Caenorhabditis elegans: one gene and its partner. The protein of the gene in region 2 interacts with the protein of the main gene of each other region in a pairwise test. Each region holds a gene or a part of one and is shown on either strand. Other genes may lie near its edges.

What was found. Proteins that work in one complex are often made in the same cells at the same time.
Region 1: the proteins of klp-13 (region 2) and tars-1 interact in a two-hybrid assay, tested with the Caenorhabditis elegans proteins (one large-scale study listed by BioGRID).

What each region holds. Positions count from the first base shown.
Region 1 is NC_003280.10:11,690,110-11,696,024, forward strand, and holds tars-1 (Threonine--tRNA ligase, cytoplasmic), read right to left. Parts: upstream 4,185-5,915; 5' UTR 4,155-4,184; coding exon 4,035-4,154; intron 3,969-4,034; coding exon 3,639-3,968; intron 3,588-3,638; coding exon 2,610-3,587; intron 2,283-2,609; coding exon 1,981-2,282; intron 1,931-1,980; coding exon 1,681-1,930; intron 1,635-1,680; coding exon 1,437-1,634; 3' UTR 1,220-1,436; downstream 1-1,219. Other genes in the region: kel-1 (BTB domain-containing protein), read left to right, coding at 134-295, 517-1,219, 4,671-4,817, 4,867-4,945, 4,999-5,102, 5,835-5,894.
Region 2 is NC_003284.9:5,982,675-5,991,795, reverse strand, and holds the start of klp-13 (Kinesin-like protein), read right to left. Parts: upstream 6,808-9,121; 5' UTR 6,605-6,807; coding exon 6,578-6,604; intron 4,865-6,577; coding exon 4,784-4,864; intron 4,736-4,783; coding exon 4,625-4,735; intron 4,581-4,624; coding exon 4,374-4,580; intron 3,955-4,373; coding exon 3,826-3,954; intron 3,714-3,825; coding exon 3,621-3,713; intron 3,450-3,620; coding exon 3,366-3,449; intron 3,321-3,365; coding exon 3,236-3,320; intron 3,138-3,235; coding exon 3,075-3,137; intron 3,019-3,074; coding exon 2,906-3,018; intron 2,863-2,905; coding exon 2,754-2,862; intron 1,888-2,753; coding exon 1,787-1,887; intron 1,731-1,786; coding exon 1,648-1,730; intron 1,602-1,647; coding exon 1,454-1,601; intron 1,191-1,453; coding exon 1,019-1,190; intron 969-1,018; coding exon 846-968; intron 778-845; coding exon 618-777; intron 38-617; coding exon 1-37.

The sequences.
Region 1 (5,915 bases), on a different chromosome or scaffold from region 2:
AAAAGAGTCATGCGCCGTTAACTTTTGACTACTGTATTTTTTTTCATCATAAAAATACCGTATGAAAAACTTAAAGGCGCGTGCGTAAATAAGCCTGCAAAATAAAATTAAAAATTTCTTTTTTTTTTTCCAGAGAAATAATCGACAACGAGGAGCTCCTGAGCCTTGACAAAGACGCGTTTTGTGAGTTGATACAGGATGACAGAATTACAGTACCCAGTGAGAAGCCTGTAATGCAAGCAGTCTTGAATTGGGTGGCTCATGAAGAGCCCAGTCGACGGCCTTTTTTGGCAGAGTGCGTAGATTTTACTACAAAAATATGGTCTCGACACGACAGTTTTTGTTGAAAAGAAATCGGTGTGCGCTTTTGGAGAGTACTGTAGTTTTAAACTTTGACGAAAAACTATGAAAGTTCGAAACTACAGTACCCCTTAAAAGCGCAGACTTTTTCGCATTTGACAAAAATTTGTCGTGGCGAGACCTTGAAACAAAAATCAAATGAATAAAAACTTTCAGACTAATGTCAAATGTTCGCCTGCCATTGCTGGGTGATGATTATCTTTTCGAAAAATGGAGAAATGACGAGATGATCAAAAGTGATGCGGCTTGTCTAAACGTGATCATCGAAGGAATGCATCAGCTGAAAATCACGAAGCAAGACATTTCCAGCACGGAGCCCCACTATCCGATTCAGGAGCTCAACCGAAAATGGTTCGTCGCCCGTGAACCCATGCCAGAATCCCAGCACATAATGATCGTCGGTGGGCAGGCTCCAAAAGCGATCACCAACGTCGATTTGTTCGATCCTGATAGCCAACTCTGGAGCTCGTGTGCATCCCTTCCACAGAGAAGGTGCCGAAGTGGAGTGAGCATGTGCAATGGTTACGTGTACACCACTGGCGGGTTCAATGGAGCACAGCGGGTGAGATCCGTGGATTTCTATGATCCACGAACCGATACATGGCGTTCCGCGAATCAGATGAGTGCTCGCCGATCCACTCACGGGATAACCACGTGTCAACAGGTGTTGTATGCAGTTGGGGGATTCGATGGAACTACCGGGCTTGCGAGTGCAGAATATTTCGATCCACACACAGGAAATTGGTTTCCACTTCCATCAATGAGCACGAGAAGATCAAGTGTTGGAGTGGCAGCGTTCGAAGAGGATATCTATGCGATTGGGGGATTCGATGGTGTCTCAAAGCAATGCCTGAATACGGTTTGTTTTACTTCATGAGAAACACTGGTGGGAAATGGGGAGTAAAAGAAAAACCGAAGAAATAAAATAAAAAACAAACAAATATATAAAGCAATACCGAAGAGGATAACAATCAGGGAACACAAAAATTAACTGGAATTCAATGCATTAGAAGACGTGGGCGCGTGGGGGGAACCAATAAATACTATAATTATAAAATTATCAACGAACAAGAAGTTTATGCCCATTCCTCAGACTTTTCCGTGTCGGCGACATACTCGTCAGCAAATCTTCTGAACTTTGAGATAAGCTTGTCGAGTGCGACCTCTCCTCGAACTGCGTTGTCCCTGGTGCGCACATTTACTGTTCCGTTCTCTTTTTCTTTGGCTCCAATGACGAGAATGAAGTTGAACTGGGCAAGCTGGGCCTTTCGGACCTAAAATTTTAATATTGAAATATCTTAAGAATGGAGTTAAATGTACCTGCTTATTCATCGTGTCACCACAATTCTCCTCATACTCAATCTCAAATCCGGCCTCGAAGATCTGCTTTTTGACGTCATTTGCATAGTCTCTGACTGACTCGTGAACAGTGATGATTTTACATTGCCTTGGTGAGAGCCAGAATGGCCATTTTCCTCCATAACTTTCAGTGAGAATAGCTGTCATCCGCTCAACTGATCCAAGAACAGCACGATGAATCATGACTGGTCTCTGCTTTTCTCCCTTCTCGCTGAAAAATTGAAAATTAAATTTTTTTAGATTTTAGAGTTTTTTTCTCACTCGAAATAGGAAAGATCAAATTGATTCGGAAGTTGGAAGTCAAGCTGAATTGTGGCGCACTGGAAGTTTCTCTTGAGAGCATCTTGAATGGTGATATCGATTTTCGGTCCGTAGAATGCTCCATCTCCCGGGTTCAACACCCATTTTCTGCCTGAAGCGTTGAGCGCATTGGTGAGATCTGCTTCGGCCTTGTCCCATGTTTCGATGTTTCCAAGGAATCCTTCTGGTCGTGTCGAGAGGTTAAGCTTGAAGGTGAAGCCGAACACTTTCTCGTAGGCGTACTCGAGGAAGTCGAGGCATTGCTGAAATTTTGTTGGTTTTTTTTTCATTAAAAAGGCAATTTTTCCCTGATTCCGAACATCTAGGTTTGTGAAAATTTTTAAATATGCCTTTCATTTGACGCCATTTGTCGATTTACGTGATTTTTTTTTTCGTGACAATTTATTATATTTAACTAACTGAAAACCGGAAAATTTTGCTGGATTTTTATGTTAATTTAAAAGAAAAAAACCGACGAAAATGAAGAAACATTGAACAACTGATATCGGAATTTTAAAAAATTCTCGTAAATCGACTTTGGGACATTTTTAAAACAATAATTTTTCACTCGGAATCAGAAGCAGAAATACCTTGATCTCCTCGGAAATTTGATCTTGACGACAGAAAATGTGAGCATCATCTTGTTGGAAGCGACGAACACGTGTAAGTCCAGTCAAAGCACCAGACATTTCATTTCTGTGCAAAACTCCAAAATCAGCGAATCGGAATGGAAGCTCATTGTAGGTGTGTGGCATGTGTCCGAACATGAGACAATGCCCCGGGCAGTTCATCGGCTTCAAACCGAACTCTTCCTTCTCCACCTCGATCTTGAACATATCCTCCGAATAATGCTGCCAATGACCGGAAGTCTCCCAGAGCTTTTTGTTGTACATATTTGGAGTGATAACCTCGGTGAAACCGCGTCGTCTGTACTGCTTTCGGATGAAATCGACGAGCTTATTGTAGATATGTGCTCCTTTCGGATACCAGAACGCCGATCCCGGAGAAAGTTGATGAAAGAAGAAGAGATCATGTTCTTTTCCGAGTTTACGATGATCTCGCTTCGCGGCTTCTTCTTGAAGTTTCTGCCACTCTTTAAGTTGCTTTGAATCGGGGAACGAGATTCCATAAAGTCTCTGCAAGGACTCAGCGTCGGCTTTTCCCTCCCAGTAAGACGATGAATTCTTGGTGATTGCCATGGCCTTGACTTTTCCGGTGTGACGGACGTGGGGGCCACGGCACAAGTCAATGAGGGGTCCACATCGATAGACGGTGGTTTTTGGAGTGTGAATCTTTTCCGTGATAATTCTGACTTTGAACTCATTGTACTTGAACATTTCCAGCAGATCCTCTTTTGTCATTTCAAGACGCTCGAACTTTTGCTTATCTTTTACTGCGGCCTTTACGATTTGATCGATCTTCGGGAAATCATCAGGGCAGATTGTGCGGTTCTCATGCCACATATCATAGTAGAAACCTTCTTGGATTGGTGGTCCGTAGCAAAGATGACCTCCACAATAACGCTCCATAGCCTCTCCGAGAACGTGAGCAGAAGAGTGCCAGAAAACCTGAAATTAAATTGATAATTATTTCCATAAAAAACTAAACAAAAAACTCACTTGCTTAGCCTCATCATCATCAAACTTCAAGAGCTCCAACTTTGCATTTCCTTCAAATGGACGATCCAAATCCCACACAGCTCCGTTGACTTTTGCGATGACGGCGGCCTCGGCGAGTCCCTTGGAGATTCTCTCGGCGATTTCGAATGGAGTAGTACGCCATGTCTTTCCCTCGTGGATCTTTCCGTCGGGAAGAGTGATCTGAATTGGCTCAGACTCTTTGGCAGCAATTTCAGCGTCGTATTCCGCCTTCAACTTGTCCCAAAGTTTGATTCTCTCCTCAATGAACGCCGGCCATGGCGCCATATCGGTTGGGGCCTTCGACATTTTCTGAAATTAAAAAAATTAAATTAGTGAATAACTCAATTCTTAAAGTTTATACGGAAAAGTACGTACGTGGCCGTTCACAAAATGATATTTATCAGAAGCCTCGGAAGAAAGCGAGCGATAAAACGGTTTGAAGATTTGTGTCGGTTTTTGAATGTGAACAAATATCCGGAAACAGTTCAATCGCATCTAACGATTCCCATAAGAAGCTGCGCGTACCTTAAATACAATAAGTAAATTTTTATTTCGAAATACTATTAAAGCATGACGGAAAGTGATGCAATGCTTCGACGTGGCGTTCAATACTACTGAGCAAAATAGCGAAATTTACGGGAGAGGCAGAGTGCACAGAGGAGAGGAAAAAGTAAAAAAGAGGAAAAATTCGATTTTACTGGATTAACATTGACTTTAAAGGTAGTAATACCGACATTTTAAAAAGAAAACTCGAATTATAGCCTAAAAAAATTAAAATTTTCATCGAAAAAACTAGAAATTCCCTGCAAAATACTTATGAAAAGCATGGAAATAGGGAAAAGTCTGCAGAAATTGAGATTTAGCGGCGCACGAGAAACGCGTCAGCCCCTTGGTGCGTTTTGTGGTGAGCTGACGCACTTGCTGAATTATAGTGGTAAATAAATTCCAAACTATATTCTTCGGTTTAATAGTAGAAAAATACGTCGATAAATGAAACACCGCACTTTTTAGGTAGAAATTTTCGATCGAAGAGCTCACAAATGGCGTCCAGGGCCTGCAATGCTGAATGTCAGATCAGGAGCTGGCGTCACTGTGTACGATAAGAAAATTATAGCAGTAGGAGGACATAAAGGGGCAGAAATTCACCGATCAGCAGAGGTAGGAATGGGAAAAATTATATTTTACTCCAAAAAAGTCGATAATTTAGATATTAATCGGAGAGGAATGGATTGAGCTCGCCAATATGGCAATTCCGAGAAGAAATACCGCAGCTACAGCTTTGAACGGTAGAATTAATAATTTTAAATCATATTTTTAAATAGTAATAGCATTTTTGCAGGTCTTCTCTATGCTGTGGGTGGCGACGACGGCTCGAGCAATCTGTCAACAATAGAATGTATTCAGCTGAGTGACAGGTCAGACGCGCAGTGGAAAATCGTCGATGTAAGCATAATATTACAAAGAAAAAGTAGTAAAATTTGACGGGAAAAGTGATTTTTGACCAAAGAAAATAGATTTTCTTTCAAAAATCCCGCATTGAAAACTGGTCTCCGCGAGACCCAGCTAGAAAGTAATATGCGCCTTTAAATAGGTACTGTAGTTAATTTTCAATTTTTAAAAATTGGGTTTTCACAATTTTAATTTTCTTTGACAATTTTTGTTTTGATAAAACATAATATTACAAGAAAATACATTAAATACTGACCGAAAAATACTACTTACTGAGTGAGAAAAATTCAATTCTATTTAAAAATTTCCACTATGAAAGCTGGTCGCTGTGAGACCCACCTGAAACAGTGTTAGGCGCCTTTAAATAAAATACTGTAGTTAAAATCTCATTTTGAGACCCGAAGAACTCGGGGGATGTCCAACTGGGGGGATTACCAACTCGGGGGATTGGCCCCGCCCACAGAACCGTGGCTTGCAATACGCCCATTTCTGCAACTGCCGCACGGTTTTAAAACTGTATTTTTCTCAATAGAGCGAGAATTAACAAGAAAAAATGATTTTAAAACCGTGCGGCAGTTGCAGAAATGGGCGTATTGCAAGCCACGGTTCTGTGGGCGGGGCCAATCCCCCGAGTTGGTAATCCCCCCAGTTGGACATCCCCCGAGTTCTTCGGGTCTCCTCATTTTAAAACATGTTTTGTTATTTAATTTCCGTTTTTTTTTTCAGGCTCCAATGTCGCAGGGACGCTCCTACGCCGGAATCGCATTGATTCCAAAAGAATTTTAGTAATTTTCAGTTTACATGTAT
Region 2 (9,121 bases):
GGAAATTTCAGACTTTTTCTTTGAGGCAGACATAAGGCTAAAAAAAAAACTTAAATTAAAACATTTCAGGAGGGGTAGGCGGCAATAGAGTTTTCTACAGTTTTAGCAGTTGCCGGGAGAGCCGAAAATAACAAATAAACATATTATTGATTGGAAAATATCATTTGCTTCCATTTGAAAATGTGAAACATAATAATATTGTATTAAAATTGTCACTTGCTGACAAAAGTCCGACAAATTTTCGAACATGTTTTTTGGTCGTTGACAACTAGAATAACATTAAAGATAATTAAATATTTCTTTATACTTTGACAAAAAGTTTATAAAAATTCCGCAACAAGCTATTTTTAGAAGTGCGGAGCCAGACAAAATTGTAGCACAACCAACATTAAGATGGCCTTTAGGACCCCCAGCCTTTTTGGATAGTTTTAATAAAACACTTCTAAAACAAATTTTGATTTATTTTTCGACTTTCAATTTAACAATACGGGAAAACTTATAGTTACACACAATTTAAGATCAAAACAAAATTTTGCACGCGTGATTTTTACAGTGCTGATCAGGTCTGATCATAAGAAAATTTGATGTACACCTAAACCGGAAACACTCATACGCACCGATCCTCTATTATGATTGTGTTGTTGTTGTTAATAATTTTCGGAAGCAGCATTGAATTCCACGAGACCGTCGTTTGAATGTTTTTCAGTGGGAGCAGATGATAATGGAACTGATTTTTGATCACTCGGTATTCTTCTTCAAGTTTCTTACGATCATTGTCTTAAACATTATTCGATTTGTGAAAAAAAAATTCTCAAAAATTTTAAATTGCATTATCGCAATCTTACCGTCTAGCTTTCCATCGATCAGCTTATCAGCCACCATTTCATATTTTTGAAGCTTTGCAATAGATGTATCAGTTCTATCCATGATCAATCCCCGGATGGCAAGATCCGACAATGCGGAAATTTCTGAAACGGAAAACCTTAATAAGTTTCTAAAAATAACTCTAAACGCCCACTTTGTGCTTCTATCTCAGCCATCTTCACCATCAATTTAACAACTTCTCGCTGCTCATTAGTGGATGCCAGGCTTCTCATTCGAGATTCCAGCCCACTCGCATTCTCCTCCCCTTTCCGGAGTGCCTTCTCCACTTTAGTTCGTTGATCAGATAGTTCCACAAGGCGCACTCGCTGAAAAAACAAGATATACACCGACCGGTTTTCTCTTGAAACATTATTTCAGATCATGACAAGGTGTCAATGAAAGGTATGCAAGGTGTCAATGAAAGGTATGCATTGTTGACTACCTGTCTTCTATGTTTCTCGTTTTGATTTTGCATTAAAAACATCAAAAACTGAAAGTCAGTCAAAAAGAATTCCCATCAAATTTTCCAAAGTGATAAGTTCTTGTTGCACCCATTGTGTCCCAAGATACAACTGATAAACACACTTACTTGAAGTTCTCCATCCTTTTTCAACCTTTCAATACTTTCAGCTGTCTTGTCGTGATGATGCTTCTCCCAAGCATTAATTATTGCATTTTTAGAAATTAAAGACATTTCTAATGAGTAGGCTTCTTGATTTGTAGCCATCAATTTCTCCCTGTAACTTTTCAATTATTCCATTATTAATTTTTACCTCAAATTACCTCAATCGCTTTTGTTTATCCGACAATGTCATGTATTGCTCCTTGAGCTGTGTGAAAAGTGATCCTCCACGCCCACGGTCTATCTGAAAAATGAAACTAATTTATGATGTATGTCTCTGTGTTTTTTTTTTCAACTGACCGGCATCGGTTGAGCCGCTCTCGTTAGGCTGCTATTCCGTGAGATAGATTTTGGACGGTTACGGCTGCTGCTCCTTTCTTGCACACTGCTTCTTGCTGCCACTGAAATTCAATTGTATAAAAGTGTTAGAAAGTTTTAGAAGTACTTCTACGCATTCCTACTAAATTTACTTATTTTTTTTGTCTTTGAGGCTTGAGTCTCTACGGCCAGACCGATTTTGTCTCGCGGTTTCTTAGTTCAGTTTTTTTTTGTTTTTTATTTACTGAAAAAGCAGCAGCAATGATTCAAACCGTTTACACATTTCAAACAAATTGTCTATTTTATAATTTTCTTTAAAATGTAGTTTTAACTTTGAAAAGCAACAAAAAATGTAATCGCGTTCTATTCAAATTCAAAAGAACACTTTCAACTTGAATTGGAAATTTAAAAATGGAGTAGACCCCGTGAGACAAGTGCTTAAAGTACTTCAATGGTTCCAAAGTGACCAGATATCATAGTAAAACTTTTCTAAAAAAAATTCGAAAATTGTTATTTACGCTCAAAAAGTGGCAATTACTCAGTTTTTCCACTCCAAATTTTGAAAGTCGACCAGAAAGAATGTTTTTTTCACGGTTTTTTACTATAATTTTGTTTCAATATTTTTTTTTAACATTATGTGTAAGGTTCAGACCATGCAAAATTTCTCTGGATTTCCTTAAAATCTCTTCTTTTTTTAAATGTTGGCTATTCACCAAAACGTTGACTGAAAATTTTGAAAAATCTAAAAATTTTTTTGAGTGTTTCAATATGGTATTCCGTCGTTTTGGATTATGATAAGTGTAGTGGACAAAATATTTTGCCAACTTTTAAAACCGCTTGGAATCTATGTTTGTAGCCTGAGGTTTAGTAGTGTTTTGTGTTTGAAGCAAATAAAGTATTTGTTTTTTTCATTATGGATCACTATTTGGATTCAAAAAAATTTTCTCACATCCGGTAATTGATGACGAATTCTTAATCTGCGATCCAACTTCCTTCCTGATCGCATTCATCGCCTCTGCATAAACTTGATCGGCGGAAGCTGGCCGATTCCGCATTGGCTAAAAATAAAAACTGTGTTCCTATTTAACACGTTAACGTTACTTTATTGGTAATGTTCATTGCTCTTGATGCATACATCAGTGTGTTATATGTCTCTTCAAAATTAGAACTTGATGGGGTGACGTGAGCTATCATGCATGTTTTCGCCGTCCCTCCTAAAATATAAATTATTTGCTCGTTTCGTTATGTGTTCATGTAGTCAAAAACCAACCAAGCGAATCCTTCAAAAGTCTTGTCAATTTGCTATCCCGATAGTTCACAAATTTGGTAGTCTCTGAAAAGCAAGTCACATCAAACAGCTTTATTTTTTCCAAGAATTAATTGATGACTACACTTCTTGAAATCACTTTTCCAGAAAGCCTCTTAACTCACTCGAAGCCAACGAGTTAATGACATTCCCAAGTGCCAACAGTGAGCGATTTATTGCAGCTCCCTCTTTCAACCGGATTCCACGATTCTAAGTGATTTTTATGAAAATGGAGAAAATGGAATTGGGACCTACTTGGGTGTTGGAAGCTCGCTCGGAGCCTGCTAGATCTATCATGAAAAGTTTACTGTGAAGAGATTGATTTTTGACGATCATCACCTAAAAATTATTTATTTTCTTTTATTGTCAAAAAAATCAGGCATACGTTCAATCTCTTCTACTGAAAATGTTTTTAAAGCTATCTTATGTCTCAAAATGTCTCGAAAAAACACAAAGATCAACTACGTGTACTCAAAGAGCAGGGAGTGTATCCCCAAGATTGAATCTTGCCTGAAGCAACGCGTGACTCCTTGAGCTTGTTTTATTCGCCATCGTCGCTTCCTGAGTGCGTCGTAGATTGCCTTCTTGCAATATTTGCATGATCTACAAAATGCGGGAAATTTGTAAGAGAATTAATGTGAAGCTGTGAAACGCAAGATTGCCACTTGAAAGCGGCTCTCTGCGTTTTTCAATCACGGAAAAATTGACCACGTACTCGGGTTAGATTTGGTGCTTTTACTGAGGACAAACCGGGTACTCGGATGTTTCCACGCTCATCTTCTAATAGTTCCAAGTCGCCTCCACTAGGATTTAGAAGATCTCTGATTATTTCGTTGTAGATTTCCTGAATAATAAGTGTACAACGGTAGAGTATTGTTAAGGGACGTGTATGCGAAATGGTCCCGTCACGAGTATCACTCATTTTTATGATTTTTTGTGAACATTTAAATTACTGTAGTTTTTCTTCTTTTTCTTATTTCTCTTTGTTTTTTCACAGATGAGCAATCAAAGTTGCGATCTAATAGTTCTTCACAAACAATTTTAAATAAGAATGACCAAAAGGGCCTAACGGTTTTAACTAAGTTTAAGTTGAATTGTGTGAAGATGGAGTTGAGTTTTGAAATTCTTTTTTCGTAACCTAATGGAAACATATGTTTTCAAATGTGGCATGTCTAGAAATTTAAAAATGGTTTGTTTGAATATATAGAATTTATAAATAAAAGCCAATGCTTATGACTTTTTTTGAATATTCCCTATCCTCACCATATAGGATAACAACACTTGATATTGATTATCCAATTTCTCATACAAGGTTTTTGTCATCAACGTCATCAATCCTGGCCTGTCTTTTGTTCCAATCATAGTAAACGTCTTGCCGGACCCAGTAGCACCATATGCAAAAACAGTGGCATTGAACCCTTCAACAACTGAGTCGATAATAGGACCAGTTGTTGTTTCGTGCACGTCCTCCTAGAAAACAAAGTACACAATTTCAAGAATTCTTATCCCAAAACCTGATTAGATGTTGCTCCAAATGATGCATCAAACTCGAACTTTCGTTCATGTTGTCGGTTTTGTCGGAGAATGTTGTTTTCAAACTTTTCGGGATCCACAAGTAGTACTCGCTTGAAAGAAAATAAATTCAATTTTTTTGAAAGTGATGTTCGAGGTACCTTTTTATCCAATGGAAACACACATTGAAAAGCTTTACGAGACTTTTCTCCAGAGTTCAGTGGCCGTACTCGTACCACAACCTGTAATTTGCTAAACTATAAATTTATACGGTGTATAATTTTTTTAAACCTTTGCCTCAAACAGTAATTAGTTGAATCATTTCCTGTTTCGAATCTGTCTAGATTTTTCTTTCTAAAATTGCACCGTACATTCCTCTTTAACAATGCATAGTACTTCTGTTCAATAAATAATTTCACTCATTTTCTTTTTGACAACGTTATGTCCTCTACTAGTACAACTCCGACCTTTAAGTATATATGCTTTTGCCTACGAACATGAAAAAAATTTGGCTGAAGCAAGAAAAAAACGTTTTCTTTTTCAATAGATGACCACAAATTGCTCTGGTTTTTCGTAGCTTTACATAATGTGTACACATAGTTATAAAAAAAAAAGTTGATTGGAAAATAGGAAAAGAAAATAGTGGCGCAGTAAAAAAAAGGCTTGTAATCTCGAAAACAAAAATAGTGGTTAACGTGATTAGATGTCTAAGGCATTTCCTGGTGATTGCGGGAAGAAATTTTAGGTTCTCTGAAATGAAGTCAAAAAGAAAAAAAATACAATGACTCGTCAAAAACAGATTCCAATTTCCAAATTTCTGTGTTGGAGAGTAAACAAAAACTAGATAGTTTCGAATTACATCAGTCTCATTGAAATCGAATTCCTGATTTTCAATTTCTCTGGGCTTTTTACAAAAAAAAACATTTACGGTTTATAATCTCAAAGCGTCAACTTTTGGAATCCTTGACATCTAAAGATCTCTGGCTTTGTTTTCAATGACGTTGTTGTTTTCTTTTTCAACAAAAACATCTCTTTGTCTGACTTTTAAGAATTGCGAAACAAATCACGGCTCTAGTCACAATGTTCGTATTTTCGTCGTTTGATATTGTTGCGTTCAGATATTCTAGACACATGTTACATTGCTAATGACAACCCGACTAGCACACATTCCCCAGGAAAAAAAAATTATGCTAGGAATCAAAGTGGGTAAAGTTTGTTGCAAATTTGAGCCGGATACGACACACGAATTGATAAAGTTTGATAGTGATAAGATAAGAAGATAAGAATTGCTGAAATTTTTTACCGCTTTTGATTTTTGCCAACTTTGCAAACAAAGTGACTTTGAAGGACAAAGTAGAAAAACTCTACAAAGTTTGGTTATTTTATGGCGCGGTCAAATAGTAAATTATTTTAAAAAGTTACTAGCGTGCTTATATGAACAACATCATAATAATATTTATCCAAAAAGTTATTGAAAATGTTAAATTGTTTTATTTGTTTTCATCACTTTTCATCTCGAAATAAAACATATGCGGTTTTTTTTGGAGCGTTTTATTATGCTATTTTGTGATTTCAGTAGGAACGATTTTTTATAAAATTTTTCAATGGTCGCACTCCACCATTTAAAGTTTTTATATGAAAGCTTAAAAACCAAACGTGATTTTCCAAATTTTTGTAAATTTTTTAGAAGAATTTATAATTAAATTTTATTTGTTTCATTATATGAGAATTCTAAGTCTAGAGGTTTTGAATTTATTTTTAAAAAATTTTCGTCATTAAATATGCATTATTGCAAAAACAAACTAACATTAAAAATACTTCTCTATGGAATGAACTTTCCAAATTTTCATATATTCACGGTCTCACAAAACTGCTTCAGTTTTCAAATTTTTTGTATTTATTTCTGACCAGCATTACAAATTGCCTTTCTACTTTTCAAAATCAAAACCACGTACCGTGAGCTGCTGTTTTTGCATTGCCATAATATATATTAACAAGAGTACAATAATAGTGAGCAGTTGTACATGTCTCGGACAGAGCCCCGATGGCTTCTACCTTGACTGCAATTTGAGGTGAAGGCGGGCGACACTCAGAAGGCGAAACCTTCAATCGCACTTTCTTTTTGGTAAAACCACAAAATGCATTCGACGGCTCGTCTCCAAAATCGCTACACTCTTAGTTTTTCATTCTTTTTCTATATCTGCTCTCCATATAAATTCGGCGCAGTCTCGCGCTCGCCCTTAATAACTCGGCCGGTCACCTGGCAACGCGCCGCCGACGGCTTCTCTTCCACTCAAATTCGCCTTCCTATAGTTTGTCCCGAATTTTTCGGCCGCATTTGAATTGCCGCGGTTTATCGTTTGATTCGCAGGCAAGCAGGCACTGCGAAGCCGCGCCGCGTGTTCCGCCGCCGGCGGGAGTATAAGGGTGGTGAAGAGAAGAGAAAAAGAGACAAACAAGAGAGATTGCGAGGGGAAAGATGAAGTAGACACACGGGTTGGGAGTGTCTCTAACTCTCTTCATTTTGTGTGATATCTCGTTTTGCAATATTAGAATACTCAATGAAGGTTCGGCTCTCTTGCCTTTCACCATCAATGGTCATGTTTTGAGAAATAAAAGTACAGTAGTATCATTCTCTTGCCTCCCATATTTTATTTTTTCTGAAAATAACGGTATGTCGTTTGCTTTATTAATTGAAAATTGAAATTTACTTTTTTAAAAAATTGCGGAATGCAAAATAAAAATCAGTATATCTGTTGCAATTATCACGTGCATTGACAATTCGGAAATTGAAAAAAAGTAATGCAAAACCATGTTTTGTTATTTATCTCATTTTCGCTACTCATCCGGTTTTGAGTATAAAGGATTAGAGTTTTTATGCCTAAAAGGGGTCATAACAACTGGTTGGACAAAAAAAGTGAGGAATAACTCAGAAAAAAATTATTTAAATTATTGAAAGATACTAATACATTTTCATAGTTACCAGGTTTTTTTACCAGAAATATTTTAAGTGTTCAAATAAATTGTTGTTCTTATACAAAAAATGTTCCAGCTTCAGATTCTTGTGTCGGAAGTTAGGTAGATCGACAGCGACTTTTTGAAGACTGGAAAATTTGTTTTTGTTTTCTTTTGGATATTTGAAGAAAAATACAAATTATTGTCGTTTTATAACAAAAAGTTTTAAATTCTAAAGATAGCAAATGAGTAGCCACATAGTTTATGAAAGTTTTCATTTAAAGCTAGGTGGGAAAATGCTAAAAAATATTTTTTAACTTTTCAAGAAATCTGAAACAATGTCGCATGTATTAACTGCTGCGAAGTTGATGTATGAATATATTAAACGTGATTAAACATGAAAACAAATATTTCCGATCGACGACTTCCAAAAAAATTTGTGAAAACTGAATATTCAAAAATTTTTGAATCGAAATAAAAAAGTTCCAAAACTTTTTGAAAAGGTCTATTTTGACATTTGCTCATTTTACCACTATAGAAATGATTTTTAAGAATATCCCCACTGACCTTACTTCACCTTAAACTTTTTTTACTTTATACTATTCCCCAATCCCTTTCCCCAATTCCGAGGTAGCTCGAAGATTTTTTTCCAAGATTTACTATCTAACCGAAGGTTGAATCCAATTTATAGAAAATGCGCGCATGTCGCCTTCTGCGGCTCCTTGAGCTGTGTTTCTTTTTTTATAGAATGTATAATTGAATTTGACGTTCGGTGTCCCAAATGGCTGTTCGGTAATCGAGTTTAGTAGTGTAAGAGAATTTTCTTTTGAGACGAACATCATCTTTTTCTGCCTTCTGCTCCATTTTCTGCCCTTTTCAGTACGCAGATATATAGTTATCAAACACCGAACAACAAAAATTGAAACAATATGCAAAATGATTAGTTGAAAAAAATGTTCACCAAAAAAGTCATTAGTAATTCAAAATTCATAAGTACAGTAATATTATGAATTTCTCTCTTCCAGAAATTTTCATTAGACCAAAAAAATCCTTAGCATTCACATAATTTTTGCAAACGGTCACATAATCAAATTTGTCTTGAGAGCTCTCAGAGCTATGACGCAGAACATCCGTAACTCAATAGAATACCCGCTTCTTATGAACGACAAACAGTGTCACATGAGTCCGACCAGCTGGGTCCTCAGCTTCTTCTTTTTCTTTTTTCTTTTCTTTTGCTTTTTGGTTACTTCCGTCAGTTTTTCGGTTCTTCGGTTTGCTCGTCCCTTTCTCAAAATCCCCGTAGACACGCAAATCTATGGTTGTGGAACCCGGCGTTACGTCATTTCTCTTCCATCTTAACAAAACCTTTTTTCTTCACTGCTTTTTTTCGAAAAAAAAAAAATATTTCTTTCTTTTTTTATGGGCTGCAGATGGAGACACAGAGTGGGAAACGTCACTTGTTGTATATATATATTTTTTTCTTGAGTTTTCAACTCTCCAATTCTCAAGTTGAACAAATGGCCCATAAAAAAACATCTGAAGAG